4 linked regions of the Arabidopsis thaliana genome follow. The protein of the gene in region 1 interacts with the protein of each later gene in a pairwise test. Each region holds a gene or a part of one and is shown in the gene's direction. Other genes may lie near its edges. The genes, in order: AT2G46550, MYB6, AT5G18150 and AT1G54770.

Region 1 (8,833 bases):
GACGAACAAGTCACTGATATTGTTGAAACTTTCTTATCTTTTGAGATCGAGTATTCTAATCTTTATAACAGGCCCTTTGTATCAACGCCATTAACCATCGGCAAGCTGCATTAGCTAGCAACCGCAAGGTCAGTATATCGTCGTAATTTGCCTTTACCACTTGTTCTATCTTTAATTTCCTGTGAAATTCATAAGTTTTTGTAACTTGCCATATGCTACGCACCAAAACTTTAGATATGCAAAGATGAGTCTGCATCCTGGAAAACATCCATTAACCTTTTATCTGTATCCTGCATTCTTGCATCAGTATCTCGAGATAAAATTTTCAGATGATATTGCATGTCCCATATGAAGACCAAGTTTATGTCAATCTGTTGTTATTTTGTTGTTGCAGTGTTTTATTATGCTTAGTGGTAATGTGGCAGGAGACATAGACACATCCCTAAATGTGCATTCGTGACATGCAGGGTATAATTTTCTTTAACCTAGAAGATGGTGATTCTTCCCAAAATCAGTCAGACTATATCTGGTCAGATGCTGACTGGCCACATAATGGTTGGGCTAACTCTGAGTCAACTCCCGTTCCAACATGTGTTTCACTCGGTGTTGGTCTTGGGGATAAGAAAGGAGCACACCTTGGGTTAGGTGGGGCCACTGTTGGAGTTGTTTCTCTTTCCAAGCCTGGGAAAGCTGACAGAGTTCCTGGCTACTCTGGGTTAGGAGCGATAGCGGATCCAGGATCATTTTTTACCCAGGTCACACATAGCTAAAAAAAAAAAATTGATAAGCCAAATGTATATTTTCTCATAACATTAAATAAAATTCACGTAGATCCGCCGGTGGTTAGGAGTCTCTGGTCTAGGTTGGGAAACTCAAGAAGAATTTGAAGAGTTTGTTGATCCTCCCCCAACAGTTGAAAGTGTTATTACGAGAGCATTCTCTAATCACCCGACAATGCCCCTCTTCTTGGTTGGCTCAAGCAACACTCACATATACTTGTGGGAGGTTTGTGCCTAAACACTTGCACCATCTGTTTTAGGAGTTCGGAGTAAATGATATGACATTTCTTATCTATCCTTGTGGATCTTATAATGCAAACCTTGCATGTTACAGTTTGGAAACGAAAGAGCTACTGCAACTTATGGTGTTCTTCCTGCTGCAAATGTTTCCCCTCCTTATGCTTTGGCGTCGATATCAGCAGTGCAATTCGGTCCATTCGGACACAGATTTGCTAGCGCTGCACTGGATGGAACTGTATGCACTTGGCAATCAGAAGTTGGAGGAAGGAGCAATATTCATCCTGTTGAATCATCTCTTTGCTTCAATGGCCATGCATCGTACGTTTCATGATCCTTGAGTCTATAAGTTCTTGTTCACTAATATGCTAAAAACACATAAGTTTTAAATTATTGCTGTCAGTCATGAAAATTACCATTATTTCTCTGTTTCTTGTTCTATTGGCTTCAGCTATTCTGTTTCTGTTATTTATGGTTGCAGAGATGTAGGATATATTAGTTCGAGTGGATCCATTGTTGCAGCTTCAGGATATAGCTCAAGTGGTGCAAATGTCGTTGTGTGGGATACTCTAGCTCCCCCTTCAACCTCCCAGGCATCTATCAATTGCCATGAAGGTCCTCCAATAATTTTTTTTGTAGAAGTGTTAGTATCATTTCCCATAATCACAACTCTTAACAAGTTTTTTTTTTGTTTTGTCCCTTTTCTTCTATGAAGGTGGTGCACGCTCTATCTCGGTATTTGATAATGACATTGGTAGTGGTTCAATTTCTCCTATGATTGTGACTGGTGGCAAAAATGGTGATGTCGGTTTGCACGATTTCCGGTTTATTGCAACCGGAAAGATGAAGAAGCAAAGGAACCCTGACGGTGGATCTTCGACTGATGGAGATCAAAACAAGAATGGGATGCTTTGGTATATACCAAAGGCTCACTTAGGTGCACACCCTAAAGCCTATTTTCACCTTCATATTCCAATTTTACCGGAAAAATATCCTGAAATTTGATTGACATTGATGCAAATTTCAGGGAGTGTGACAAAAATAGCGACAATCCCACGCACAAGTCTTTTCTTGACGGGAAGCAAAGACGGAGAAGTAAAACTTTGGGATGCGAAAGCTGCAAAGTTGATTCATCATTGGCCTAAACTACACGAAAGACACACTTTTCTGCAGCCAAACTCGAGAGGCTACGGTGGAATCATCCGGGTTAGTGAACCAAATCACCTAAAGCATAATCCTTTCATCGTATTTTCTCACAGTGGCTTTGGTTTCTTAGTAAACCAGAATCAAAGTAATGTCGGTGTATGTAATCGAATTTGGGTATGTGTTACGAATTTGGTGTAGGCTGGGGTGACTGACATACAAGTTTGTCCGAATGGATTTATAACGTGTGGTGGTGATGGCACGGTGAAGTTCGTCAGCCTCGTAGATTCTTCCTATGGCGATGCTAAATAAAAAGAAGATACATTTTCCGGGAAAGTTTTGCAGTCGAGAAAACGAGTTATTGCTACCTTGCGTGTGTTTATTGAATACGTGATTTTTTGTGATGTAGTTTTTTTCTCTATATGGTTTAATATTTGTGTATATACAAATATATTAAAGATTATGAAGCAGTAGAATCTTGAGTTGACCATAATCCAGATTTTAATTTATCTTTGACTTGACTTCAATCTATACTCGGAAATATCATCTATTTATCTTTGACATAGTTTTCGTTGACTTTGTTGCATCAGATTTAGACCAGATTAAATCGGACTGATTCCAATTAGATTGGTGTTAAGTGTAGTGCAATAGAACCGAAAATAAACATTATCAAGATTTAGTTCGTTATTGTAATTTTTTTTCTTTCTTTTTGGTGTTGGTTTGGTATTAGCTCGATATAGTTTAATAAGATTATGAAAAATTGACGGCTAGGAACCTGGCCACTATCGTATTACGTAGTGGAATATTATCTTATGGTTGATTATTAAACTGCTCCATAATTTGTGTTGTAGTCTTGTAGACGAAATGATATGAATCATCAAAATGTTTGATTAAAACCCCATTTGCCAAGAATTATTCCTAAAACTATTAAGTTAAGGCAAAGGTCCATTTCATTAATAATTATTCTAAAGAAGTTAGTTGTATATATAGTATATATATAGACTATGGTGTTAATTATGACTGAATATATTAGTGCTCACATAAAGCATCTTATTAGAATATCTTAGATTGCTTAAATAATTATTAACCACGTAATAAATAAATCTCATGTAACACTATCAATTGGAGAATAATGGAGAGAGACAATTAACCATAATGACTTGAAGACACTTGGCTTCACCTAACATTCAATTTCCTAGACGAGGCCACTATTTACATTCTCTTTACCTAACTTTCAGAACTACATTAAACCAAATTGACATGTAAAAAACCTAATTTTATATTTTCAACATGTCTATTTACCATTGGCCACTTTATTACTTAAATGAAAACGATGTCATAAAAAATATTAGTAGACCCTAACTTGAAATTTAAAATTTAATCGATCATTTAAAAATCAAAATCATTCGACGCAATTACTACAAGATTTTTATGTTTTAACCAAACATTTATGACGTAATCTACCATCGCGCGTAATCGTATAGTGATAACTGATAAGATAAAAGGTCTTATCCGTTAAAAAAGGAAAGGGAAGCCTTTTTTAGATCTTCTTTTTTGTCGCCACGTGTAATTAATATCTAATCGAACGGCTGTCAGGTGAAATCTATGGGCAAATCTGTGGACTCAAATACTCATTAACATAACTATGGGTCCTCTCAGAAAACGGTGCCGTTTTGCGGAAGCTTGCGTGCTGAATGACACAGAGACTAAGAAAACGATAATAAACTGCAAAATGATTCAAAAGATTTTAATCGAAAGCAAACAAAAATTCTCTGACAATCAGAAAACAAAAAAAAATCAGAACAACTCTTATCTTCTTCACGAGACTGACTAAACAATCATAGATTTTTCCGTTTTTTGGGTTTCGTCTGGTGTTACTCTCTCCTTCTGGTTAGTTCTTTTTTTCCGAATTCTTACAAATTATTGCGGTTTCATTAAGATGAATTATGATTTGGATCACCATCCGTTGTTTTTGTGTCCGGTTTTGATTCTTAGGTCTAATCGCGTTTCATGTTTTTTTTTTGTGTTCTTCTGGGTTTGATAATTTTATAGTTGAAGTTTTATGAAATTTGATTTCAATTGCAAATAATGATGATTTGTTTAGTAAGTTGATAAATTGACAAAGAATCTGGCTTTGGTTTTTGTTTGCTTCTAAGAAAATTAGGAACTAATTCTTCAATTTACCTGGAAAGCAAAACATATCAGATTCTCTAAAAAGTAGTTTTGTAATAAGCTTTTTTGGTGATGGATCTGTCGGCAATCAGAAAGATTCTTCCTTTGAAATAAATGATTCATATTATTTTTCCTATAAATAGATTCAAAACGGTTAATAAGATTTTGCTAAATCTACCTAATTTCTAAATCACATTGATCTTGAATTGAATTCTCAGTCTCTTGTCTTATCTTTAGAGTTATGGTGAAATAATGGCAGCAGCTGAAGCAAGAGCAGTGTGGCAAAGAACAGTTAATCGTTGCTTTGTCCAAGAAGACGCTAAAAGAGCTCCCAAGTTAACTTATTGCCAATCATCTTCATCCTCAACTGCTTCTTCAACTAAGCAAGTGGAAGTTTCTGGTTCTTCTCCTCGAGTTTCTGTTGAACCACGGACTCAATCATCTTGTGCAGGTTTCATGCCTCTTCCTCGAAACCCGAATTTCCCTGATCTGTTACCCCACAACACCAGACTGTGGAGTCATCCTCATCATCAGTTTCAGGTGAATAAGAAGCAGCCATTGGAGGATGAGGTTAACAATCAAGGTGTATCTGAGAAGAAGTCTGAATTGGGAGCTGGAGAGAAACAAGGAAAGTCTTTTAATTCCGAAAGCTTTCAAGAGTTTATAGAGTTGATGGAGACAAGGGAGAGTTATGGTTCAACTGGGTATGATGAGTCCTCTGAGAAAAAGTTAAGTGAGCTCTCTTTTGATCCTAGCTCGCCGTGGAATCTTCTCTCGAGTGAGAAAGCTGCACCGTGGTGGCGAACTACGGATAAAGACGAGTTAGCTTCCTTGGTTGCACAAAGATCTCTAGACTATGTTGAGAATTGTGATTTACCAACACCGCAGAAGATGAAACGATCTTATTATGGTAGTCCACGTGGTTTTGATTCTGATGGATTGAGAGACTACTCTGTCTCTGGCCAAACCATCAAGGGTACAAGCAAAGGAAGCAGCTGCAAGAACAGACCCGAGGCTTCATCTGAGTCTGATTTAAGCAAATCCGAGCTTCTAGAAGCACTGAGGCGTTCGCAAACGCGGGCTAGGGAAGCGGAGAATATGGCTAAAGAAGCTTATGCAGAGAAAGAGCACTTGGTGAAGATATTGTTGAAGCAAGCCGCAGAGCTTTTTGGGTATAAGCAATGGTTACAACTGCTTCAGCTAGAAGCACTTTACCTCCAAATCAAGAACAAGGAGATTGACAATAAGAACAACGACGATCCAGGGGTTTCCATCCCTTGTTGGAGCAATGGCAAAGCAAGAAAAGAGGGGAGAAAGAGAAGAAGCAAAAGGGGTAAACCGAATGGAGCAAAGTACGCGGTTGGTTTAGCATTGGGGATGAGTCTTGTTGGTGCTGGTTTGCTTCTTGGATGGACTGTTGGATGGATGCAGATGCTATCGTTCTAGTTTAAAGAGAAGAAAAGAGACAAAACTTCATCTTTTTTCTCATTGAACAGCTTGATGATGTTGAAATGAGTTAAAAGATTGGCTTCGAATCAGCTTTTGGATTTCGTTAAGGAGAGAATGTAAATTGTTGTAAGAATTTTGTTAATATTGTGTTTACTAGTTTGATCTTTTCCTTCAAAAATCATATGAAATTATCTTCTTTAATGTGTAAGTAAGTATCTTTCATGTTCATGTAATATCTGCATATATTAACTACTGTACAGTGTATATGATCTTTCTTTCATGTTCCTAGAGCTTCGATTTCTTGAAAATTTAAAATACTTAGTAATTTTTTACTGCTGGAAGCAGAATGAGAAAGAGAAAGATATACAGTATATATATTTTTTAATTACGGCAAAGGTGATTATAATGGGCCGAATTGCGAACATTTGGGCCCAGTAACCCGACCCGACCGGAGATGATCTTTAATTTCGTTTCAGGTGAGAAAATGGTTTACTCAGGAGCAACTATCAATCGAATCAGACATTGACGAGGAGCTTTGGTCGTAATCCGAGGAAGAGATTAAAATCGGAAAGTGCGAAAATGCCGGTCATGGAGAAATTGAGGATGTTCGTGGCGCAGGAACCAGTTGTGGCTGCTTCTTGCTTAATCGGCGGTGTTGGTATGAACCCTAATCTCAATCTTAATTCCTCACCGATCGATCGCATTCTCTTTCTTAGAAAAGGATTTGCTTTGGGATTTATCTAGTTTCTGGAATTCCTCTTTGAATCTATAGAGCTAGTTTGCTCGATTGTAATTTGAGAATATAGAGAAATGCCTGATCCAAATCTCTCTATTCGGAATCGTCATTTCTTTGGGTTGTCAAAGAGAGTGTATTTTAAGGAGTTGAAATTAAGCTTAATTTGGAACCATGTCTTCCATTATCTCCATGTATAAGTAGCAAAAGATTATGTCTTTCTTGAACATTAGCAAAAGGCAATTGTGTTAATATACATTTGCTGATGGATTCTCTTCATCTTGTAGGACTATTTTTGCCTGCGGTTGTGAGGCCTATTCTAGACTCTCTCGAGGCTTCCAAACAAGTTAAAGCTCCTCCACTTACCGATGTATGTATTAGAATATATTTATCTCTGTGGAAATTCCTTTTGCTGCTAAAATCGTCATCTATTTCCTATCTAATGAAATGTCTCTGATGTGGGAACTCTGCATGATAGTTGTTCTTAGTATCCGTGTAGGCGAATGTTTGGACGTTTCTTTTTTTTGCTATGTGATGTAGCCTATACATCATCTCGATGTTTTGTTCCTCCTGCGTCTTCTTGTGATTTGAGAGTTCCATCTTTGGTTCATCCATGCCTTAAAAATCTATGCTTTTCATCATTGGACGAGTGTCATGATCACATTTTGTTACTGCCAAAAATGGATTGGGCATAAAAGAGACTAGTTAGTTATCACATTGCTTAGTTATCCAACGCTTTCCTATATACTCTTTACAGGCAAACAAAGGCGTCAAGTATTAACTCAGATCCAATTTGCTTTTGCAGGTGATTGCTGGTGTCACAGGGAAGAAACAGAGTTAAAACAAGCAATGACTTCCCCTGTTTTCTTACATTCAGATGATCCCTATTCCTTTTTTGTCTTTTACTCTCTCTATTCACAATGAATAAGCCAGACTCATTTGTTTGTTATGAAACTTAATATAAAGGCATGTGTGTACACTCACTTTTGTTCATCACTTGATCAGATGTATTCATTTCTTAACAACAAATGAAAAAAGCTTGAAACTTTTCTTGCCATGGCTCATGAGTCTTAACAACATTATATATGCATATCACACAGATATTAAATTACAGTAAAATTGCTAATCTTACATACACTCTTAATAGCTCTTTTTCATCATCTTGATCCCTCAATAGATAGATAGATAATGCATATTGAAAACAGGCTTAAACACTTCCACTTCTCATCTTCTTGTTCTTCCATGGCATTGCTAGCTTCAATCCCTTGCATAAACTTCCCTGCATTTCCCCAACCAAACCCGTTTCAGCGAAAGACAAGACTTGGGAAGATGAAGAAGTTATGAAGAAGGAGCGGAGAAACACAAATACTTTACCCAAAAGTGAGATCCTTTAACAGAACCACCACCATGGTAACTCCCTGATCTGTTAAACTTCATGATCTTCATGTTGTTCTCGTTGATATTATCTCCTGCTCTCTGATTCTCCGACAGAAAGACATAATTACCCCTCACAACAACATCCCCTCTCCCTTTCCTCCTCAAGAACCTCAAGAGCCCATGTTTCCTCTCGGGCAAGGGCATTTGCGTGAACTCACCAGGAAGGAGCAAACGAGGTGGCAAATCAAGACACTTGGGGTAAGAAAGAGGACGAAGAGGGTGCTTGGGCTTGCCTGGTTGGTCTTCCCAACAAAACGGAACAGAGGCAAGAGTGTGAATCGGAGAAGCAAACACACGTGGACTCGCAGGCGATGAAGTGTACAACAACGATCTTGACTTTGCAGCTAACACAAGTGCAAGCTTCGCCTTCTCTTCTTCCTTGTCTCCTCTCATTTTTATGTCTTCTCTGTTTCTTTCTTTCTTCTTCTTCAGCTTAGTCTTAGGCAGTTTCTTTTTAGGTAGTGGGAGAGTGAAGAAAAAAAAGACAATGCATTAAATATATCTCAAATCATTTGTGATTATTAATGATCCAACGGTGGTTTTTTACTGTTGACTAGATAGACAACCATTCATAAAAGTCAATACTCTTTTGTTATTAGAGGAAATTTGACTGACCACGTCACCAAATAATAGAATCATTCACCAACTAAACTGTTATTATTTGTTCTTACTATTCAAAGAATACATTGTCACTAAAGTTCAAACAGTGTTATTCTATAAGGGATGGTATTTTTACATTTTAAAGCTTCACTATTTACTATAGAGGTGAAAATAAATAAATATCACCCAACTGCTCAAGAGGTAATGTAATAGTAGTACAAGCAGAAGCAACACGTGACATAGCCACGCGCACCTAAACCACGTGAGGCACGTGAACTTAAAA
Region 2 (7,899 bases), on another chromosome or scaffold:
GCAATGCGTGTTTCTTGGCTATCACAACCAATACAAGGGATACCGCTGTTTGTATCCTCCTACCGGTAAAGTCTACATCTCTAGACATGTCATTTTTGATGAAGCTCAATTCCCATTTAAAGAAAAGTACCACAGTCTGGTTCCAAAATACCAGACGACCTTACTACAGGCTTGGCAACATACTGATCTCACACCACCTTCAGTGCCTTCTTCTCAATTACAACCTCTTGCAAGACAAATGACTCCTATGGCAACAAGTGAGAATCAGCCAATGATGAATTATGAGACAGAGGAAGCCGTCAATGTTAATATGGAAACTAGCTCTGATGAGGAAACTGAATCAAATGATGAATTTGACCACGAAGTAGCTCCCGTACTAAATGATCAAAATGAAGACAATGCACTAGGACAAGGCTCATTAGAAAATCTCCATCCCATGATTACAAGATCAAAAGATGGAATTCAGAAGCCAAACCCCCGGTATGCTCTCATTGTCTCTAAATCCTCTTTTGATGAACCAAAAACTATTACTACTGCTATGAAGCATCCTAGCTGGAACGCTGCAGTTATGGATGAGATAGATCGCATTCACATGCTAAACACTTGGTCTCTAGTTCCTGCAACAGAGGACATGAATATTCTGACATCCAAATGGGTTTTCAAGACTAAACTCAAACCTGATGGCACCATAGATAAGTTGAAAGCTCGTCTAGTTGCCAAAGGGTTTGATCAAGAAGAAGGAGTCGACTATCTTGAGACATTCAGTCCGGTTGTTCGAACTGCAACTATACGTCTTGTTCTCGATACCGCTACTGCAAATGAGTGGCCTCTCAAACAGCTTGATGTGTCCAACGCGTTTCTCCATGGAGAATTACAAGAACCGGTGTTTATGTTCCAACCCTCTGGTTTTGTTGATCCTAACAAGCCTAATCACGTTTGTCGGCTCACCAAAGCTCTTTATGGTCTAAAACAAGCGCCTAGAGCCTGGTTTGACACCTTTAGCAACTTTCTTCTTGACTTTGGCTTTGAGTGCAGCACATCTGATCCTTCCCTCTTCGTTTGTCATCAAAATGGGCAAAGTCTCATACTCCTCTTATATGTCGACGATATACTCCTCACAGGAAGTGATCAACTGCTCATGGATAAACTTCTTCAAGCTCTCAACAACCGCTTTTCGATGAAAGATCTTGGGCCTCCTCGCTATTTTTTGGGTATAGAAATTGAATCTTACAACAATGGTCTATTTTTACATCAACACGCATACGCTTCCGACATTCTTCATCAAGCAGGCATGACAGAATGCAACCCTATGCCTACCCCTCTGCCACAACACTTGGAAGACCTCAATTCAGAACCCTTTGAAGAGCCAACATACTTTCGGAGTTTAGCTGGCAAGTTACAATACTTAACAATCACAAGACCGGATATTCAATATGCCGTGAACTTCATCTGCCAAAGAATGCACGCTCCGACCAACTCTGATTTTGGCCTTCTCAAACGCATACTCAGGTATGTGAAAGGAACTATCAACATGGGGCTTCCAATCAGAAAACACCACAACCCTGTTCTTTCGGGATTTTGCGATAGTGATTACGCTGGCTGCAAGGACACTAGACGCTCCACTACTGGTTTCTGCATCCTCTTGGGATCTACTCTGATATCTTGGTCTGCAAAGAGACAACCCACTATCTCTCACTCCTCAACAGAAGCCGAATATAGAGCTCTTTCCGATACAGCTCGAGAAATCACTTGGATTTCCTCTCTTCTCCGAGATCTTGGAATCTCTCAACATCAACCTACACGAGTGTTCTGTGATAACCTATCTGCTGTCTACCTCTCTGCAAATCCTGCTCTTCATAAACGATCTAAACACTTCGATAAAGACTTTCACTACATCAGGGAACGTGTGGCTCTCGGTCTCATAGAAACGCAACACATCCCAGCAACTATTCAACTTGCTGATGTCTTCACCAAGTCACTACCGCGACGGCCCTTTATCACGCTTAGAGCCAAACTCGGCGTGTCTGCGTCACCGGTCTCACCCACGCCAAGTTTGAAGGAGGGTGTAGAAGACAACCCAATAAATAGAACGGGCTTTGACAAAAACAAAGACATGGTAGCCCAAACTCAACAAAGCCCACTACAGAAGCCCAGTCAACATATGCAAAAGAAGATAAAGACCAAAAGCTCTTTACCTGCAAAACAGAAGACTGTCACTAATACGGAGAAGAAGACAATAACACTTGAAAACAAATTCAAGCCGTTGCAGTCGCTGCCGTTGCAGTAATTCACAATAAATAGCTATTGATTAAAGATAGCATTGTCAAGGATTCTAGATTGTTCTAAAGAAGTCTATAAAAGAAAGATGTAAAACTCCATTGAAAGATAAGCAAAATAAAAACATTTTTTGTCAAGAAATAATCACAGTTTTATTTTTCTCTTCAGGAACAACTAAAAAACTGTATTTAACTAAAACAATTCAGAACTCCTTCATACGACGTCGTTCTTTTGTTAATTTTAAATTTAATTAATGGGAAAAATGTCATTAAAATCTTCAACTCATTGCAAACATTGATTTAAATCCTCAACTCTCGACGAAACAAAATAAATATTTGACTTTCTAAATAAATATCTAATTTTTGTTGACCTGGCGATATTAGACACACTGTTAAGTAAATTACTAGATCCCGTTAACGGAGTTAATTTTTTTGTTAACAGAGGCCCATTAATGCAAAACGTTATTGTTTCCAACAACAGAGTGACGTCGTTTTGTAATAATGACTGAACTAAATTCCCAAATTCAATCTAAGATCTCTAAATCAAGCAAAATTCCTATCTCTAAATCCCCATATGATTTGAAACTGGAGATTTAATTGAGCCGTTATGACAAAAACGATGACGTTTTATTGTTAGAGTAAACGTTGTCGTTTTCAATCAACGAGTATGTTAACACACTAAACGTTCAAGGTCTATTAACCTACTGAACATCATGCCTAATATAGTCATGTCAACAAAAGTTTGATATTTATTTGAAAAGTCAAGAAGGTTTGGTATTTATTTGGAAAGTAACATAAGTTTGATATTTGTTTCGTTCGCCGAGAGTTCAAGATTTAAATCAAAGTTTTCAATAAGTTGAGAATTTTAATGACATTTTTTTCCAAAAGATAACATGTTTGATAAATATTATTTTTGCATTGTATTTTTCTTAACTACCAACTAAATTATAAGAACAGTGAGAGAAAGAAAAAAACAAAAACCAAAATCTAAGGAGAAAAAGTAAAGAGACAAGAAAAAAAGAGAAAAGAAGGTTACTTACTTACCTACCTAATCTCCATTACCCCACACACAACACAGCAAAGCACAGCCTCACTTTATCTCCACATAGTCACATGTACATATACCAAACTTAGTCAAAGTCTCCTCCTTTTTATATAACCCACAAATTGATCTCTTCTCTCTTCTCTTACACCATCTTCTTCATTCACCATGGGAAGATCTCCTTGTTGTGAAAAAGCTCACACAAACAAAGGAGCTTGGACTAAAGAAGAAGATCAACGTCTCGTAGATTATATCCGTAATCACGGTGAAGGTTGTTGGCGTTCTCTTCCTAAATCCGCTGGATTGTTGCGTTGTGGTAAAAGTTGTAGATTGAGATGGATTAATTACCTTCGTCCTGATCTTAAACGTGGTAATTTTACTGATGATGAAGATCAAATCATCATCAAACTCCATAGCTTACTCGGTAACAAGTACGATAACTTTTTCCTCTCTTTCTCTTCTTCTAAAAAAACAGAGTGAAAATAGAAAAACAGAGTCACTTTTTTTTTTCTCCCTACTCTTGTTTCTAGGAAAAAGATTTCAACTTTCTAGGAAACAGAGAGAAAATAGAAACTGGGTCACTTTGTTTTCCTGCTCTTTCTTCTTCTTTGATCTTTCCCAGGAAAAAAGTTTCAACTTTCTAGGAAACAGAGTCGTTCACTTTTTTGTTTCCTCTGTTTTTGTTAAAGCTTTCCTCTGTTATTGTTATTCATATGAATTTGAAATGTTTTGTTTTGCAGATGGTCATTGATAGCTGGAAGATTACCAGGAAGAACAGATAACGAAATAAAGAATTATTGGAACACTCATATTAAGAGGAAGCTTCTTAGTCACGGTATTGATCCACAAACTCATCGTCAGATTAACGAATCCAAAACGGTGTCGTCTCAAGTTGTTGTTCCTATTCAAAACGATGCCGTTGAGTATTCTTTTTCCAATTTAGCCGTTAAACCGAAGACGGAAAATTCCTCCGATAACGGAGCTTCGACTAGCGGCACGACGACGGACGAGGATCTCCGGCAGAATGGGGAGTGTTATTATAGTGATAATTCAGGACATATAAAGCTGAATTTGGATTTAACTCTTGGGTTTGGATCCTGGTCGGGTCGGATAGTCGGAGTCGGGTCATCGGCTGATTCTAAACCGTGGTGCGACCCGGTGATGGAGGCGCGTTTGTCACTGTTGTAATAATTTGTCAAAAAAATCCCAAAAAATGGGTTTTGTTACTTCATTTTTTTTTTTGCTTGAGTCCTTTTGGATAAATATAGAAATTCTTTACTTCAGTTTCTTTGGTATTTTTGTTTTAGTTTTTGTTCATATTACCTTTTGAAGAAAAAGAAAAAAAACGATACATGGTTTCCAAAATAATTTTATGGAAATATATAAGAATATTACACCATTGTCTAGGAATGCAAATGAGTAATTTGAATTTTATTTTGACAATATTGTTATAAAATGTAGAAGTATAAATGTAGGAGTGAAATGTGAACATGGTTGGTCCCTTTTGGACTCTTTCTTATGGATCAACCGTTATCCATTTTTACATGTTGGTATAGATCATAGTTTTTATATGTTTTTTGAAGCAAAAGCTTCTAGAAACTTGAATTAGGTTATAATGGGGACCATATAGTTGCAACTAGCAAGTTTCAACAAATATCTCGTTCACTATGTTAACTATTTTTTTTCATTAGGTTTTCGGTGTTAGTTTATATATAGTGCTAGGACACATGGTCCTCATCTCAACAAACAAACTTCTAGTTTGTAGAACTTTTTATTGTTTAGGAAAAAACTAGAATTGAGAACTTCTATTAATACTTATAGTTGTAGCGTAATTTGGTGCCAACGAAATTAATTAAAAGAACTACTATAGACGTAAACATTGAAAAGGAATGTGAAGAAGCAGCTGATTGGAAGAGATACAAATTGATTACTAAATAAAGAAATATAGAATAAGAGAATAAGATAAGGGAGGAGACATGTGACATGTTTTAGGCAGGTAGGTGGCAGAATCTATCATTAAAACCATATTGTGTACCAAAAAATAATTGACTTTACCTAATCTTTAATAAGATAAATATTTTATATATCAATACTATAACCTTATAGATTATCCGAAACAAATTTGACATAGCCAAGTCTCGATAAAAACATTTATCAATATGATCTTAAGGCAAAGCAAAATGTTTTGTCTTTAGACAAATCTTTGGTCGACGTCAGAACAAGAAAAAAAAAGAAAACAAGAATTGGTTTCGTAGAGATATTATCATATTCATACGCATAAATATATCTAAACAATTAAAGAAACAATAATATAAATGTAAAACAAAAGAGAGAATCATGTGCGTAAGAGGAGGAAGAAGGAATGGGAATGTGAGATTTAGGTGAGATCCAGCCAAACATGACTTCCTCTTTTCCTGGAAATTAAAAAAGAAGTTATCACTCTCATTTTTAATATTAATAAAATTAAGAAAATTCTCTAACGAGTTTAAGTTATTATTTTATATGAATTGATATACCTTTTTACATCTTCTACATAAACATAGACTATAGTCTTCATAATTTTGTAAACTATCAATAGCTAAGTCTAATTAATTTTAGGATCATTTGCAAAACTAACCATATTTGATAAACTATTGAAGTATATAGGACTATATATTTACATGAATTTGCAAGAGATTCATTAAAATCTTCATTCCAGGACTCTAAAATTATAGATCATTTACTAAACATAATTCTTATTCCACGGAACAAAATTGAACCAAAGACTTACAATTTCAATAGTCTATAGTCTAAGAACTAACCTAATCTGTTACTCAACAATTGCAGGCATCGATCGATTAGGTACGGTTAGATTGAAAGATACATCATTACTCCACTTTTGTAGATTATTGGGTCGAGTCTGTCTAAATCTAGGGTTGGAGAAATAAAGGTTTTTTTTAAGCTTTTGACGAGCCCTACTTCTTGAGAAATCAGCAAATAGTGTATGACAAACTACACACATGAAATAAAATACAGTATAGAACAGTAAATTCTTTTAAAAAGATATCCTAAAGTCGTCACTTTAACTAATCGATCATGAAATCCTCCTTAAAAACTTTATAAATCCCTTTAAAACACTTGTAAACTTTTTTAAAATCCTTTAAACCCCTCTTGTAAATCTATTTCCCGCAAAACTTTTCAGAATCAAGTGTCCCGTCAAAAAATACAAGATCACTTCTCTTGCAAAAAGGAAAAACTTTGCGGAACATTTTTGATAAAAAAATACACTTTTTCATTTTTGATTTCAATATTTTTCAAATAGGGGTAAAATATTAATTAACAATTGAAAGAGAGCAAAAATAAAAATGGCCAAAAGTGGGGTATTTTTGAGAGTGAGGGCTTTTCTAACACTTACTCATTAATAGATAATGGATATACAAATATATATTTCTATTTCTTAAATATTTTTAAATCTTAAAGTTTCTACTATCTAGTTACTAAAATGTTTTACAAATATGTCATTTCCAATTTTAAAGATTTATTTAACTTGTCCTAATATGATTAAATAATGTTTTTTCTACTAATACATTATAGACATATCATTTCTGATTATAAAAATATATTTCTATTTTTACCGACATATAATTTCAAATTAAAAAGATAAATTAGTATTTACAAAATATTTCTAATTATAAAGCATATGTTTATTTTCCTAATATTTTAAACTTTTTGATTTTCTACCATCTAGTTAAAAAGTTTTTATAGACATCAATTCTAATTATAAAGATATATTTCTAGATATTTCAAATCTCTTACTTCTACTATCACGAGATAATTTTTTTAATAGACATAACAATTCAATTTTATTCAGATCTTCGACCATAATGAATACTTAGGAATAATATATCTACAAAAATAGAAACATATCGTAAAAATTGGATATATATACATAGACATACATATACATAAACTTACATAGATATCCAAACACTAAATTAGTTGAATATCAATTCAATTGTCAGTTTTAAAAATGGCCAAAATATCATCACCTTTGGCTCTCTTATTCATCATGTTATCTTCCATCATGATCAACCATGTGGCGAGTTCCAAAACATGGTGTATAGCAACTCTAATCGCAACGAATGCGCAGCTGCAAGCAAATATTAATTTTGCATGTAGTCAAGGAGTTGATTGTAGGCCAATCCAACCTGGTGGATCTTGTTTTATCCCTAATAATCTTGCAAATCATGCATCGTTTGTGATGAACTCTTATTATCAGACTCATGGTCGTACCAATCAGGCATGTAGTTTCAAAAATACCGGAACATTTGCTGCTACCGATCCTAGTTTTGGTAAATGTGTGTATGCGTCTTAGAAATTTTATTTTGTTTTGATAATTTTTAAGCGTAATAAAAGAATGAATTGGTGATTACAATCATCCATTGGTGAATACAATACATAATAAAAGAAATGGTGATTTCAATCATCCATTGGTGAATAAATGCGTAATTAATTTGATTGAATACGTAAGACATAAAAAGCGAGACAGATCCAAAAATATATATATTTACAAAGATGACTCAAGTTGAACAAATCTCTTTA
Region 3 (7,480 bases), on another chromosome or scaffold:
CGGATAATCATAACAAGAAGAATCTATCAGAGAATCATAAACTTGCATATATAATTAGCTATGTGTCATTCTTTGGAAAACAAAACAGAACCCTTCTCAAAATCAGTTGTTATGAATTATGATTATTGGTCTCTCACATCCAAATTGAGAGTAAACTAGATAGTGTTATAACACTAATATGTAAGGGATGTTATTACATTCATTACCAAATGTTATTGTCCTGAGGGCTCTTAAAACTGCTAATAATATCAAAGTTCATGACACAATAAATTCACTAGCATTAGTAATAGACTAATAGCGCCCAAATTTAGCCAAGTCCTCCAATATCAATGAATTTGTGGCTATCCAGGCTAATCTTTTCTCATAAGGTACCATAATAAAACCACTATATTGGTCAATTTTACAGAGATCCATGTCTCAAAATGTTGAATTCATACTGCAAGTAACTAAGGCTAATCTTCGTATGCTCTAAGCTCTAATCGTCTGAGTGAAGATTTCAAGTACTTCTTCTGTACTTGTTTAACTTTAGGACAAAAGTCTCTTTTCTATTTTTGAGAAAAGGATCACATGGAAATTGCTAGAAACAGAACAGAGGAATCGTAGGTTCAATCTCAAAAACACATATTACAGTCTCTCCATGTATAGTTTTATAAAGTTTCTATTAAGTCTCTAGAATATGTAGTATCATCATTAAAACATATTGGGATCTCCAGTGGGATCAATCAATCAGTGGATACAAAAAAAGATCTGAAGAACACTTCAGAAATATATAGTGTCATTCCATGCAAAAAGATGAAATCTCTTAAAACGAGATGAAACTCTCAATGTGATTTGGTAATACATAAAAGTCATTCACAAGATCAAATCCAAGTCTATCAGGTTGCCAAATCTGGTTATCCGCAATTCCTTGAAACTTGGTTTCTCTGATATTGTTTTTCTTAGGATCAAAATACACAACACAGAACGATCTATTCAAACTAAATCCTGTGTAAATAAGCTCACCAGCATCAATAACACCCTTCAGACTTGTGTTGGGAGGAAGACATAAATGAAACTGTTCATACGACCATTTTCGATTCCCTGCATCCTCCAAACTCCAGATTTCAACAACAGAGCTAGTGGAACTTATCAAAGCCAACCTTCCCTCATAAGATACCATAAGAAAGCGGTCATAATTACGCATCGGAAACTCAATATGTGTAAACTCTTCATATCTGAGATCAAAGCCAAATATAACATGCCTTGGAACCCTATCAAATATAATAGCTTTATAGTAGATAACTCCATTAATGCATCGTCCAGTATCTTTAGTAGGCCAATGTGTATAGCCAGGTTTGGTTACTCTCCATGATTCTTGAATTTCCAATGTAAGAACTTGAGTGTTCCATCCTCTGACAATGCACAATGCTTTGTATTTACCCTCTATCGGTTCATATCCCAGAAACCCTCCTACGTTGTATTCGTCACCGGTGCCTTGAGGCTCAGGTAAAGGGAAGAATCGTTTCAAAGTAGGGTTACAAATCACGAGCTGTTTAGAACCTTCTAAGCAGATCAAACCGTGGACGGAATCAAGACGACGGATGAAACCATTCTTGGGGATTTCAATGTGATAATCTTGCACATGAGAATAAGTATTCTGGTGTTGGGGAGACGAGAAAACGATCAGCTTGTCGTGTTTTCGGAAGATTAGTAGAACACAAGGTGGTGATGTCTTCTTGGACCGATGCTTGATGAACTCTGGTGTGGTGGTAATGGACGACCAGAGCTTAGAGACGGAGCGAGATCTGACGATTGATTTCGCAGGAAGTCTTGAGAGTATCTCAATGGTTATGTCGAGAGGAATCGAGTTTGACTGAGATATGTGATTACCATGTGAGCATCTTGTCGTCAATGTAGATGAAGATTTTGTTGTTCCCTGCTTCTTCTCGTCTTGTTTGTCCATGGCCGATCGTTCCACAATCTTGCTTTCTTAAAATTCACCTAATTTGTTCGTTCGTCTTCTTTAAGTTAACGCTTATTTGTTCTTCCGTCTGCTATACTACTAAATATATAAGATGAATTAGAAAGAAATAAGGTAAACTTGAAAAGGAAAAATGGAAAAATCAAATTATATGTAAACTTGAGTTAGAAAGAAATAAGGTAAACTTGAAAAGAATAAAAGGCAAAAACAAATTATGTTAATTGTAATTATCCAAATTAATATTTCATAATTTCTATTTTATAGTTTTAGATATACAACCCTTCAACTTCCATTTTTTTTTGTAAGGGTAATTAACAAAAGTGTTTGTATTGACCGTTTGTGATTTTCTGCATCCTCCAAATTTAGATAATTCTACTTTTTAAATCTGAGATCAAAGCTCATTAGGGCATGCTTCAAAGTCAACTTGGGATCTCCAAGAACAGAATTTCATATGGTTCTTACAGATGTTAATCTTGATGGATTGTGGAGCAAGCAACATGGTTATCTTCTTCATGTTTTGTAATGATTCTTCTCTATCTTACCCTCTAAACTAAGAGAAGAAGTTCTGTTTCTGATTTGCCAAACCTTTATACAACTCAGAAACTTATGTTGGGACTTGAAGTTATGCAATAATATACAAAGGCACACCAAATCAAGGAAAGGTCAAATAAAGATTACAAACACTAAAGGCAAAAAATTTATAAAGGAATGATCAAGTAACGAACACAAGAAAAATCAAAGATATAAAAAGAGTTATAATTGTTGCATCAAAAGTAAGTTTCACTGATCATTGAGCTATGAAGGCGCTGCTTTAGAAAGACACAAGAGTCTCGATGTGGTTTGGAAAAAAATACATGTTGTATAAACCGTCGTCTTTATCAAGTCCATAACGGCACCTAAATTCATCGCCTAAAATGTAGAATATAAAACGATTTAGACAAACTCTGTGAAGCAAAAATAAGCACACCAGCATCACTAACACCCTTGAAATGTAGATGTTTCCTTCGTATTGGGTGTGTCCCAGAAAGAGGTAAAACAAAGTGTTTATGCATCCATTCGTGTCTGTCTCCATCCTTCAAAAAACCCATAGCTCAGTAGAAGAGAAATTTCTAGTATTAACTATGGCTAACCTTCCCTCATAAGGTACTAATACTATCATATGAGAAGCCATTAAACACAAGCACGGATACCACTAAACCCTAAATCCAAAACTTTAAGCTCTAATCTCCATTTAGTTATGAATTAAACGCTCACATAAATTAGTTTTTTTTTTTTTTTGGTTGCCTTCTTTCCTTGGTACAAAAGTAATATCCTAAACTTATTATTCACAAAGCAATAGGGTTTAGTTTCGTGGAAGCTTTAAAGTTTAAACCTCTACCTTTTGAAAATTTCCATGTATGGTTGAAATTGCTTTTTCAAATAGATGTTGCTCGTACAATATTCTGCCATGAAGAACCCGATGTTCTACCAAATAATCATTAATTTGTTGATCTAACAAGAATTTACATTAAGCCAAACATAATCATTCATAACAATCGATATGACAAATAACTAACTCTTTTACATATGACATTGACAATTTTCTAGAATGCGCCTTAAATTGTACAAAAAAGAATTAGACTATTTTAGAAGAGTTATTTCAATTCTATAATTGCGTCCCGTTGACAAAATCTTCATCATACGTGATGATACAATAATACAACTACTCAAGTGGTAGTTGAGGTCAGCCTCTTCTAGAGGCTCATATATTATATTTACTTATTTTGGCTTTCTTTTACCCTTTAATATAATAACCATCTCATTTAGACCCCCTAACTTTTGCATGGTTAACTCAACACACCTCTCAATTGTTTTCTTCTCAAATCTATATCTATTTGGAAAAGAAAAAAAAACAAGCTATATAGCATAAGAAACACAACATAACAATACAAATTATTTTTTCTCACGTAAGAATCTAAATTCTACTTTTCCCATTAATAGTGACTCTTTATAATCATTAATTTAATTCAAAAATTCGCTTCAAATTTTCAACATTATGGGTGAAAATTCTTTCAACTCATGACATTCTCGTAGAAATTAGGATTTTTATAAAACATTAAAAGAAAATTGACAAAAAAAAAAACATTAAAAGAAATGGGGCTAATTTATAAATATGGAAAACACTGTGGGTCTTTATGTAATTGACGTATATATCAAACCACCAATTCCTAAATTTTCCTCATTGCTGAAAGATTCAGAAACGCGTTTCCTTTTTCTCGTAGTGGCGAGAGGGGAGACATGTAATCTCAATCTCACCCCCTTTATAATTTCTCTATATCTCTCTCTTCTCTCACACAATTCTTCGTTTCCCAGAATCTTACGAACCCTAAAACTTCTCATTCTTCGTCACACATTGAGATCATATTCCAATTCAAAAAAATATGTGTCCGATGAGGTTCTTATTGGTGTTCTTCTCAGCTGTACTCGCCGGATATTTCGCATGGAAGACGGTGAGTTCTTCGCCGGAATTCGATTCACCGGACGAATTGAATGAGAAACAAGAACTCAATCTCAAAAAGGTAAGCATAAATCTCGTTCCTTTTTCGTTAATTTCTGGTGATTTGTTCTAATTTCTCTGTTTCTTTGTTGAATTGCTATTTTAACAGAAGATGGAGAATGGGTTTTGGGTGTTCGTCGATATGGCTAGCGGAAGATACCTTTGGAGGAATCTCAAGGAAATGAGAGAGAAATCTCAATGAAGATGATGATGAACGAATACGAAAAGATTTCATCTTTTTTTTTTTGGTTTCTTCTTTGTGCAGAAAGTGTAAGAAACAATAATAATGATACTTTACGAGTTTAGTATTCATTTGTTCTAATCTTTCTCCTGAATTTTGTAACTTTTGATTCATTGATTTGTAATCTTGGAAAAAGAATAACAAAGAGTTTGTAACCTTCAAGCAATTTCTTCTCTTTACTACTAATCATTTTTCTCCAAGACCCAAATCATAGGATACAAATAATGTAACTTAGCTATTTACAATCTAAAACGTAGTGGAAACTTACAGAAGATTCAGGTTGAGTCGACTTGAAGTTTGATTGACATGTAGAGGAGGGTGAGAAGAGCACCTTGTGGAAGAGGAGCATGTCTAGCTAAATTAGAGCCAACCCACATTGCTACTAACACAAGAACCACCACGCTGCTGCTTGCTTTCCCACAGAGCCAGCTTGCAAATGTTAAGCAGAGAGTAAGAAGGATACCGCCTTTTCCGCCAAGTATCCAAGCGATCATGAATCCGACTTTGTAACCCATGTCGAGTTCCTTGTCGAGCAACGCTGTGAATGTGCTAAATGTGAGAGATGCTAGGCAACCGAATGTATATAGAAGAAACATCGATAAGAAGGCGGATTTGAGAGCTTCAACAAATGAGTCTCGCTGGTCTGGTGCTGTTTCTACTCCTTCTTCTTCTTGCGGCTCGGTCTCAGCGTAGAAATGTGAGTTTGGATATGTAGAATAGTGTCCATAGAATCTCCCGTGTCTGGATCTTTGTCTTTTCTCAGACCAGGTGTAGTAATACTTCATGGCATCTTCAACCTCAGGGGTGTAGCTGTGCCTTTTCACTCTATGGAACCGGGAATTTTCTTGAAGTTTAAGTGCTCTGTCGTACTGAGTCCTTGTAGCTTCATTAGATAGTACCTTTTGAAAAACAATACAGGTAAAGTGAGTAAGATTTCATCTATTGATGTTACATTGAATTCCAAGAACAACAACACTCTCATAGAAGGAAAAAAGACACTTGAGAAGGAATACTGACTTCGTAGGAACAACGGACACTCTTGAATAGCTCTCCGGCTTTAGAGTCCTTATTAACATCAGGATGAAACTGCAATAGTAACACAAGGATACAGTCACAAACATAACCCAAACAAAGCTAAGGGATACAGAGAACAGGTTATTCATTCAGTATCCAAGTGAGCAAGAGCTAAATTGAAATATAAGAATACAGAGAACAGGTTCCACCAAACTCCAGACACATGTTGCTAACTTATACAAACACAAGATTTAAACTTTTCTATTACCCAAATCATGTTGCTAGAAGAAATTGGTCGTGTTCTCAACTACTTCTGATACTGGTTGCAAATTTCACATCTTTAACGCAACAATCAATCAAACCAAACGATGCAAAACTAGAGAAATTTACTAAACGAGCATTTCCTTAGTTCTTTACCTTTCGAGCTAGCAAACGATAAGCTCTCTTGATGTCACCTTGTGTGGCGTTTCGAGCGATGCCCAAAACAGCGTAATGATTCTGCCCGCCGGTATTAGAACTTGAAGAAAACGCAGCACTAGTAATCGTCGTTTTCGAGCGATTACGGTAACTCCGAGATTTGCCGTCGCGGTGCCTTCGACGGTGAGGGAATAGGTCTCGGCCGATAGGGTTAGACGACGGAGGGAGGAGATCGCCGGAGAAGGAGGAGGAAGAGAATCGACGGTAGCCTTTGAGTGGGATAGGTCCCACCAAAAGGTGAGTCTGCATTATCTTCTTCACTCACAGTCACAGGTCTGTTTGTCAAACGGACCACTGACGTTAAGTGGTGGAGGAGAAGAGAGGCGACTTTGACGGAGGACCGTTAAAATTAACTGGTGGGTTAGATTATGGGCCTTTAGATATTATTGGGCTTGTTCTTCAGTTGATGTACCTTGCAAGCGCAAGGAACTAAACCCTTAGATATGTAGGCTAGTGATTTGAATTAGTGTTGTCATTGTGTCATGTTCAAATCCATGTTTTTGTTTATCAAAAGATTTAGTAAGTTTTACACCAAACTACATCATTGTAGGCATTTACATTTGAAATTTAAAGTGAGATTTGTTAGTCATCTTTGAATTTTTGTTTGAACTGTGATACTTCTCGAAAATTTTGGACTCTCTACATCGAAACAATTAGGTAAACTATTTAATTGTGGATCTTTCGCACCATTAAAATCGTTTTGATGATAGCACTTTTCTATACATCAATTATGTTGTATTATGATGGTTATGTTGTATTAGGTTTGAATTTGTATAGTGACCGAACAACTGACACAAGAATTTAAATACATAATTTTTTACTTATTCATAATAGCAAAATACTAAGTTTATACTCTCTTGTGTATTATCTTTGTTTTTCTTGTTCTTGTATATATATCATTTACCTATTGCATTTTCTAACGACTTAATAAGTATATATCATCGTTCGCTAGAACTTGATGTCGTATTGTCGTACGTAGTGCCGGTTCCAAACATGTGCTAGAGGTGCTCATGCACATGGTCCACATTTTATTTATTTATATATAACTACATTTGTTAAAATTAGGGTCCAAAATTTGTTTGTCCGAAAAACATAGAAAATAAGGCCTATATATGTTTCCCAGCTCAGAGTACATGATATTTTGAGTCCGCCCTGGTCCTATGTAGGCGTCGGCTTAGCCAGTATGTAGTATGCATTCGGACAAAGAATGTAAAATTTCACAACCATTATTTATATTGAATTTCCTAAATTC
Region 4 (8,711 bases), on another chromosome or scaffold:
TTGTTTAAATTTTGCTTTTATCAATAAATTTTGTTCTTTATCTAATAGTGGCACAAGTTTTAAATTTTCAGGAACGTTTTATGTTTTCGCTACTGTTTGTGGGGCTACTGTTATTTTTGTAGCAAAACTCGTACCAGAAACCAAAGGTCGCACACTTGAGGAAATCCAATATTCGATTGGTTATGTAGAATTGTAATGTATAGTAGTTGATTACGAGAATATCAGTCCCTAATTATAACGATTAAAAGTAAGATTTTTTATTTTTCTTCTTTCCTTTTGGTATAATCGTATCATCCTTTTTGCTTAGTGAATTTGAATAAATGGTGTTGTTTTTGGTTACCAAATATCGGAGAACATAATTGAAGGTGTCGAGGAAAAAAATCGAGGTTATGACGAGTTTACAACTTCTAAAGACAGTGAAAGATATTCGAAGTTTTTTTGGACATATATGTTGGGTTCTACAAAAAAATTATAAAATATTTCTTTGAGATAGTTAGACCGCTTACAAAAATGTTATGTATGGAGGTCAATTTTGATTTCATGGATGAGTGCAAAAAATCAATTTTAAAAAATGATTGTTTGACAAATATCCATTCAAAATATACTAACTAAGGGATTAGATCACGATATTAATGACATATTCTTGTTTTCCATTTTTTCCTTTAACACACACAAACCAAAAAAAAAATTAAAAAAAAATTTTAAAAAAATAGTCATTTTTCCTCTTTTTATATCTAAAAACAAGAAAGAAAACCAATTAAAAAGAAGTGACAGAGATTGAAGTGTGAAGCCATCTGACGTGGGACTTATCTTACGTTCTCTTCTAATCTCTACAGGTCATCTTTCTCGGTGGCACCTTTATTCACCAAGCAAAACACCGCTTCTTTCGATCATCTATCTCTTTCCCATTTTCTTTTCTTGACTTTTTTTTCTCTCTCTTCTTGTTCTATTATAAACAAAAAATGTGTAATAATTATTCATCAATCCTCAGAATAATACAAATAGGGGAGTAGGTATCTATCTTGTCACCCTCTCTCTCTCTCTCTTGTTACCAAGATGAGCTTCTACAAAAGAAGCTTTCACTCTTTCCTTGGCCAAACCAACACCAAAGGGATGCCGTTTGAATCCGGTCTTGGCCATGATGAGACACAATCACATGGCTTAATGTTGTGCACAGAGTATCTAGGGTTTGAGAGTTACGACATGAGGATGTCCGATAACGAGGTGGAGAACAAGATGACTTGTCATGCGGAGGTGGAGACCGAAAGGGTTGAAGCAAAGAGGAGGAAGACGAAGGAGAATGTGGTGGTGCAAGCGCAGAAAAAACAGTTTCCTCCGCCTCTCTCGTCATTAAACAGCCGTGGACAGCGATATTTTTATCTCCGTCCGGTGAGAAAAGACGGTAGATTGGAACTTACGCAAGTTATGGTCGATCGACCAGAGATTTTCCACGTTTCTAGAGTAGATGGACGGTTGAGATTACATTTTGTCGATGGTGTCGAGAATCCCATTAGAGCTTATTCTGGTCCTCAAGAAATTGTGGCCTTAGAAGAGGAACCTAAGGGTCTAGGTAATGAGAAAGAGGGAGGGGAGATTAGTAGATCTGATCTGGAATGTGGTAGAGAGATTAATGAAGACGACAATGATGGTGCATGTAATCAAGGAATGGATTTATCTATAATCAGTGATGATAGTGGTGCAAGAAGTTGGAGATGTAAAAGTAGTCATGATGTTTCGGTGAATAGTAATAATGATGTTGCACATTTCCATGATGACCATGACACGAGAGAATGGATGTACAACAGTGGTTTTAAGATCGTGGCAAGTAGGAACCATGATGAGAACAATCATCATCATTATCATCATCGTCATCGTCATCATATTCATCCATACCATCATCATAATAGTAACAATAACATGAATTTATGGACCCGGACGTACGTGAGGACCAGGTGAGGTTATTAATCAATGTTTTTTTTTTTTACGTGGCGGCTTGAAACAAAAAATATATCAACTAAAAAAGAGTACAGCTATATTTTCTCTGGAAGTTCCGTTGTATTTTTATAAAATATTCGAAAAGTCAAAGGTTGGGTGTTGTTATAAGTAGTGTCAACAATATGATAGCGTGTGAGTGTAATATTATTGTTCGTTTAAGATGCTTATGTATATGACTTCCATAATTGAAACATCTTATTACAACTTTCAATTTTCATATTATTATGCCTTTTTAACAAAGTATTATTCCAATTTTGATTACACCGTTTTTTATTTATGTAATTTGATCAAAATAAAATCGACAGATAATCTCTTCAAAAGTTTAGAGTTTAGATGTTCCAGTTTTAAAAATAATTATGATGAATCCGGAATAGGCCACAATTTTTTTTTTTTAATACAAGATTTTAGAGTAAAACTCGTAATCCTCTCAGACACGAAACGACAACATGTAATATTAGTTTCGTTCCAAAAATATCGAACTGACGATTTTTAAGCTTCGGCTAAGAGTTTTACTAGTTCAGCAATGATACTTAGTGGAATAGGCCACAATTCATATGTTATAATTCAATGTTTCATCATTTAATGTTTTAGAATCGAACTTAGTTTGGTGTTAGTTAAAATCTTTTCGACCCTCGTAATTAAGAAATAAGGAAAACATAGGTGAAAAGATAGAAGGCAATGTAACGCAAACGAGTCTGTCTGATCGGTCCAATTGTTGGTCATTCGTCCATATATAGCTGTCTGTTGAAAATTGGAACATTAATGTTGTCAAAATTCTAAGATTGCAGGTTGCATTTATAGACTCCATTTCCCTCCACAATCGACAGGTCACAGGCCTTTACGCCACATATAACCCCAAGATACAATGCATATTTAAAAGTTCTTGTGAACTGAAGAAAAGTTTCGACGGGTTGAGATACGAGACATTGAATTTTGGAGAAGAAAACAAAAGCTAGGGAAAAAGTTTGTGGTCCGCAAAACATTGAAATGCAATAAGAAAACTGAGTTAAAAATTAGAGTAGGAGCCGTGTTGATTCCCTAGGAAAGCTTCAAGTATAGGAGATTGCATGAAACGTTTTGATAACGGAAATGTTAAGCCTAATAAAAGGAAGTCACCTCCTTATGGGGAGTTTATTACGGCCTATACATCGCATGTAGAAAACGAGTTTCTCGGTTAGAACTTAAAATGGATTTGGAAGTAGTGGTTGGTTTTCTGAAGATAAGGGTTAGTGAAACTTATCCGCTGTCTTTCCTGTTACGCTTGTGACATGGCTTTATATCAAAGGATTAGAATATCAAAATTTCACATATTTACCGGGAGGATAATCGTTTTGCGGATGAATTAGCTAACCATGCTTTTTCTTTAAATTTAGTTTTTCACTTTTTAGATACTATTCCAAGATGTTCTCTTTTGTCGGATGATGCCCGTTGTTTGGCAATTCGATGGCATGTTGTTGCTTGTTAAGTTTTTGTATGTTGCTATGAATAAATTTGGGGAGGCATTATCTCCCCGTCCCCTACCAATTTCTTTTTTTTTCTTCTATCCCATATATATATATATATATATATAAATTTCGAAAACTCTTTGCTTTCATTTTCTTAAAAAATCACGTAAACATAATTTTAGAAATAATTAAATAACAACTTATAATATTTTTTTTTCTTCCCATATATATAAACTCCGAAAACATATAGTCGTATATTATTTCTTAAAAAATACTTTCAATTGACTTTTTCCTTTTGTATTAAAATCTATTCTCCCACATATTTGGTAGTTATTTAAAATTGTAGTTCATACAATCACAGTCTTTACCAATTAATTTAAAAATCATACAGTCAAATTCCTTACATCAAAAATCCTTATAACCTTTAACTATGCGAACAACAAAGATTACCAAACTTCCAAACATTGATCTACAGATTGACTAATTTTTATGCAATTTAAATTACTACCATTTTTCCATCTATATAAACCCAATCTTGCACCCACAAAAAAAAAAAAAAAAAGAGAAACACATACTTAATCTAAATTTCTCCTTTCTTTATAGTCAATTCATATTTTTGTTTTCTTCCAAAATGAATCCCAAGAAAACCAAAGGAAAGCAAATGATTAACATCAAAAAAATTGAAAAAGATGAAGACAGATTGGTCACATTATCTAAGCGTCGAAATGGAATCTACAATAAGCAATGAGCTTTCCATTCTCTGTGGTGCTGAAGTTGCGTTTCTCGGATACTCTTGCTCAGGAAAACCATACACATTCGGCAGTCCGTCTTTTCAAGCCGTGGCAGAGCGATTTCTCAATCGTGAGGCCTCATCATCGTTGCAACGATCGGTCATGAATGCTCACCAACAAGCGAAGATTCAAGAGCTTTGCAAAGTATACAATAGAATGGTGGAGGAGGCAAAGACGGAAGAAGCCAAAGTAAAGAAGGCAGCTGCATTAGCGGAGACAATGCCCGTAGATGAGGATGCGTGGTGGAAAGTGGATCCAAAGGAGGTGGAAGATCACGAAGAGGCGAAGAAGATAATGGAAAAGTGTGAAGGGCTCTATGAGAAACTGTGTAATGAAGCTGCTGCAAGGATCCAAAGAGGAGATGCTGAGAATAATAACAAATGATCCATTAATGATTAAGATTTTAATTAGTAGATCATTACTAATTAAGTATTTTTGAGTCTTAAGAATTATGTTTTTTTTTTTGTCTTTTCTTTTTTATACATTATGAATTGTTATTGTTTTCTACAACATCCAGCAATGGATTAATGAAACTGAAATATTTTATACATAAAAGAAGCCCATTACAGCCATTAGGCCCAATTCGTGATCTATCATCTACTCAATCTCTAACCCTAATATCTCCAATCTTCATCTCCGTCGATCTCCATTGATCTCTAACACTAAAATTCTACTACTCTTCACTTTCTACAGCTTAGGAAGAGTTCTCGACAAGCTGATTCTTCGAGTTCTCGACAAGTTTCAGTGTTTTTGTTTCCGGGTCACAGAGAACAAAGGCAATTTACAATAATGGCAGAGACTAAACAACCACTGATCGGTCTTAAATGGGAACCAAAGCTTCCAGGCTTATCCTTAGACTTGAAAACTGGTTCAACCAGAAGCAAAACAGCTGAGAGTTCTAAGTCAGAGCTTGTTGATGGTCTTTGTCTTCCACCTAATGATCCAAGGAAGATTAACAAGATGATTAGAAAACAACTCAAAGACACTACTGGTTCTAACTGGTAACTCTTCTTTATCTCCTCTACTCGGATTAGTTTGATCCGGCTTGTGATTAAATTGTATTTCTTCAAACTGTGGATAGGTTTGATATGCCTGCTCCAACAATGACTCCTGAGTTGAAAAGAGATCTTCAGTTGCTTAAGGTAATAGATTCTTTTGCTTTTGTTGTTGTTTTAGGTTCCATAGTCCTTACATTATTCTAATTGTATCTTTATTGTAGTTGAGAACTGTAATGGATCCTGCTCTACACTACAAGAAATCTGTGTCACGGTCTAAACTAGCTGAAAAATATTTCCAGGCAAGTTTCAGAACTAGATCAAAGAGAATAACCGTCTCTTTCGGTTTCTGTCTTAACACAAACTTTTGTTGTAAAAAAAAAAACAGATTGGTACAGTAATTGAACCAGCTGAAGAGTTTTATGGGAGATTGACAAAGAAGAATAGAAAAGCAACTCTTGCTGATGAGTTGGTTTCAGATCCTAAAACTGCTCTCTACAGGTTAGTTACTACCATTGTCTATTAAGAAACAATGTATAGGAAATGCTTAAATTCTGTAAGTATTATTGATAGATGTAAGTAAAATAAGTGTGTGGTTTATCTATTCTATCAAGAATTTGTATTTTTGAGAATTTGTATTCATATAGCACATGTGCAATCTTTGTTAAGTGAATGTTTTTGTGTTGATTATGGTTTTACAGGAAGCGTAAAGTTAGGGAGATTGAGGAGAAGAGTAGAGCTGTTACGAATAAGAAATGGAATAAAAAGGGAAACCAGTCTAAGAACACAAAGCCAAGAAGGAACTGAATTATTTTTGTTAAGAGTATGATCATAGTTTTGGGACACATTTTTTCTATTTTTAATAGAATATGGTCATAGTATTGGATACACTTTCTTGCGGTGATATAGGTTGTAATGACTCTTGTTGTTTATGGCCTTTGTTTAAAGGATTTTGTGTTATTGGTTACACCTTTGATAACTGTAATAACTCTTGTTGTTTATGGTGCTTATGTTATGTATATCCAAAACCAAACCTTGTCTAGAGCTACTAGGTGGGAAACTTGTTTCAGCAAGACTGAAATTGAGTCCTAGTTTACACCTTTTGCAGAATTGCAGGGTCCAACCACGAGAGCATCGAGTTTTATACTTTCAGGTAGCACTCATAGTACCTCCCTGTTTGAGTCATCTGGCACTGACCATGCCACACATATTTATGTCAGCACAGCAAAACTTTGGTATTCAGCAAGATCTAAATTATGTGACTTTCTTCTTTTGAATCATAGTTGTAATGAGGAGGCTAAGAGTATTGCTGCAGCTGCTTCGAGCAGGGGAAAGATTGAGGTCAGTTGTTTGAATTTTTGTTTTCGCTCGGCGTTGTTCTATGATATTATATCAGCTCTTTGGAATTAAGAAGATGAATTGTGTGTGTAGGATTTAAATCTATGTCAAGTTGAACTGTTTAAGCTTGCTTTTTTTTTTTTTTTGAATCTGTGTATTGGCTCGGTGTTGTTAGAATCTAATTTCTTACTAAGTATCTCGACAAAGTCAGTTTCTTGGAGAGTGCTGATTACAGGCAGTTTGAGAAAGAGAGAGACGCTAGTTTGAGAAGACACGATGAGACCGACTCCTCTAACGTTCTTCTACATCTGCTGTAAGTAATCTTGTTTTCTGTTCTGTTAGAGAAGTCTTCTTTAGTAGACTTTGTAGCATTTTCTCAAGTGATTTGGTCACATTCTTTGGCAGTGTCTAAACCGAGTCCCCGTTTTCTTGATTGATTCGGATTTATTTCTTATGTCTCTCTCGAGAGAGAGTTCAAAACTGAGACCATCCTCTCTGAAGGCCATGGCCAATGAAATGGGCTTGCAATGCAACGTAAGCCCAACTTGAATCCCACGATTCTAATTCGAGCCGATATCTGAAACAACAATTCATTTGTGACTGCAATCTACACCAATCTACACCTTGTTCTTGTAAATCGTTTGTTTTCTTAGTTTCTACCTAATGAAGCTCATTTGGTCTCTATACAACATAAATTTCTTCTTTTGGTTTTGAAATCTAAAACCTGAAGTAAAGCTTGATTGATTTGGTTTATGGATTGCAGGGGAAAAAGTGGCTCTCTCTTTAACATTTACAAAAAAAAAAAAAAGTGGCTCTCTACAGAGTTGATAGTCGTAAACAAGCAAGCTCGTGTTAGGTTTTTTCTATTGTTGGATGGTTTTGTATCAATGTTCTCAATATTGTTTTACTAGATAATGAAGATAACTTTTATATTGTAAATATATTAAATTCATTTTGTAATTATTATTTTTTGGACAAATATAAATGCATATATAAGTAAAAATGTGATAACACGTTTCATTGAGTGTATATTTAAAATGTAATTATGCAAAAAAAAAATTAAAAAATATTTAATTAGCAATTTAGAAGTTTAAACATCAATTCTGTTTTGAGAAAATAGTATAGTTTATAGACATGTAGTATAGCTAATGTTTATTTCACACATATGCCAATTTTTAGTAAATAAATCGTGAAGTGATCATCACCATAAAATCTGATGGCCGCAATTCAAACCCATGTAATCGAATTTTGTTTCTAAGATAGAATCTAACACAAAATAAATTAGTATACATACATGATATATTAATTTTTTTTTTGTAACATGATAGATTAATTAATTTAAAGATAAGAAACCACACACATAAATTATTTATAGATTTTTAAAAGTTTCAATATTTATTACATAGAAACCCAAAAAATCCATCATAAAAGCGGTTATCAGGAGGCGTGTAAAATTTCACTTGAGCAAATTTGTTTTGGTTGCAGAGATTTTTGCAAGCAATTCTCACAAAAAGGAAGAGTTGCCGTTTTAGAATCTTTCATGCACTGATTTGGGACACAATGTTTAACACATACTTCTATCGTACTCGCGTATGTTGAAACTATCATCGTTAATAAAACTACAATCATCAAAACACTATATATCTTTTTCATTGTTTCAGTTGCCATTATTTGAAAATATGAGTTTGTGAATGTTTGAGGTAATAAAAATATTGTTTAGGTTATATAGCAAAAAAAAATTAACAAGATAATTAGTGTTGAGTTGGCTTTTTGTAGTTTTGTACTTTATATAGCAAAAGTATTTTTATCCACTTAAAATTATTGATTTTGGAAGTATATCCGTTTCTTATTAATTAAAAAGTTAGTTTTTTTTTTGTTTATGTTATTAGCTGTCCAAACAATCTTGCAATGTTAAATCGTCATTTACCAAAAAAATTGCCAAATTTTCACCATTGTCAATAATAAGTCAAATATTTTATAATCTTAATTCAAAAACTATCCCCTAAAACATGATTATATAAAAAAAAAATCGTATTGATGGGTCGAGATATTTAGCATTAACTTATAAACCAAAATGAATTTACAGGTTGATTTGATCTATTTAAATTTATTGGATTCATAGGTTGACCTAATTAATTTAGCTAAAT

What was found.
Region 2: the proteins of AT2G46550 (region 1) and MYB6 interact in a two-hybrid assay, tested with the Arabidopsis thaliana proteins (one large-scale study listed by BioGRID).
Region 3: the proteins of AT2G46550 (region 1) and AT5G18150 interact in a two-hybrid assay, tested with the Arabidopsis thaliana proteins (one large-scale study listed by BioGRID).
Region 4: the proteins of AT2G46550 (region 1) and AT1G54770 interact in a two-hybrid assay, tested with the Arabidopsis thaliana proteins (one large-scale study listed by BioGRID).

Annotation. Positions count from the first base shown.
Region 1 is NC_003071.7:19,109,208-19,118,040, reverse strand, and holds AT2G46550 (uncharacterized protein), read left to right. Parts: upstream 1-3,834; 5' UTR 3,835-4,049; intron 4,050-4,568; 5' UTR 4,569-4,583; coding exon 4,584-5,777; 3' UTR 5,778-6,080; downstream 6,081-8,833. Other genes in the region: AT2G46560 (transducin family protein / WD-40 repeat family protein), read left to right, coding at 72-128, 468-755, 832-1,005, 1,114-1,337, 1,498-1,631, 1,732-1,953, 2,044-2,222, 2,361-2,471; AT2G46540 (fiber), read left to right, coding at 6,360-6,438, 6,801-6,883, 7,319-7,354; AT2G46535 (uncharacterized protein), read right to left, coding at 7,721-7,792, 7,888-8,343.
Region 2 is NC_003075.7:5,989,533-5,997,431, forward strand, and holds MYB6 (myb domain protein 6), read left to right. Parts: upstream 1-3,375; 5' UTR 3,376-3,486; coding exon 3,487-3,749; intron 3,750-4,058; coding exon 4,059-4,506; 3' UTR 4,507-4,726; downstream 4,727-7,899. Other genes in the region: AT4G09462 (Carbohydrate-binding X8 domain superfamily protein), read left to right, coding at 7,328-7,672.
Region 3 is NC_003076.8:5,997,232-6,004,711, reverse strand, and holds AT5G18150 (Methyltransferase-related protein), read left to right. Parts: upstream 1-4,157; 5' UTR 4,158-4,380; coding exon 4,381-4,518; exon of another isoform or gene 4,519-4,605; coding exon 4,606-4,698; 3' UTR 4,699-4,906; downstream 4,907-7,480. Other genes in the region: AT5G18160 (F-box and associated interaction domains-containing protein), read right to left, coding at 803-1,942; AT5G18140 (Chaperone DnaJ-domain superfamily protein), read right to left, coding at 5,013-5,636, 5,755-5,823, 6,169-6,477.
Region 4 is NC_003070.9:20,429,783-20,438,493, forward strand, and holds AT1G54770 (Fcf2 pre-rRNA processing protein), read left to right. Parts: upstream 1-4,767; 5' UTR 4,768-5,020; coding exon 5,021-5,232; intron 5,233-5,312; coding exon 5,313-5,373; intron 5,374-5,450; coding exon 5,451-5,528; intron 5,529-5,614; coding exon 5,615-5,727; intron 5,728-5,927; coding exon 5,928-6,033; 3' UTR 6,034-6,379; intron 6,380-6,509; 3' UTR 6,510-6,671; downstream 6,672-8,711. Other genes in the region: AT1G54730 (Major facilitator superfamily protein), read left to right, coding at 72-196; AT1G54740 (FANTASTIC four-like protein (DUF3049)), read left to right, coding at 1,057-1,956; AGL85 (AGAMOUS-like 85), read left to right, coding at 4,130-4,615; AT1G54773 (uncharacterized protein), read left to right, coding at 6,841-6,877, 6,970-7,001; AT1G54775 (Plant thionin family protein), read right to left, coding at 8,002-8,232.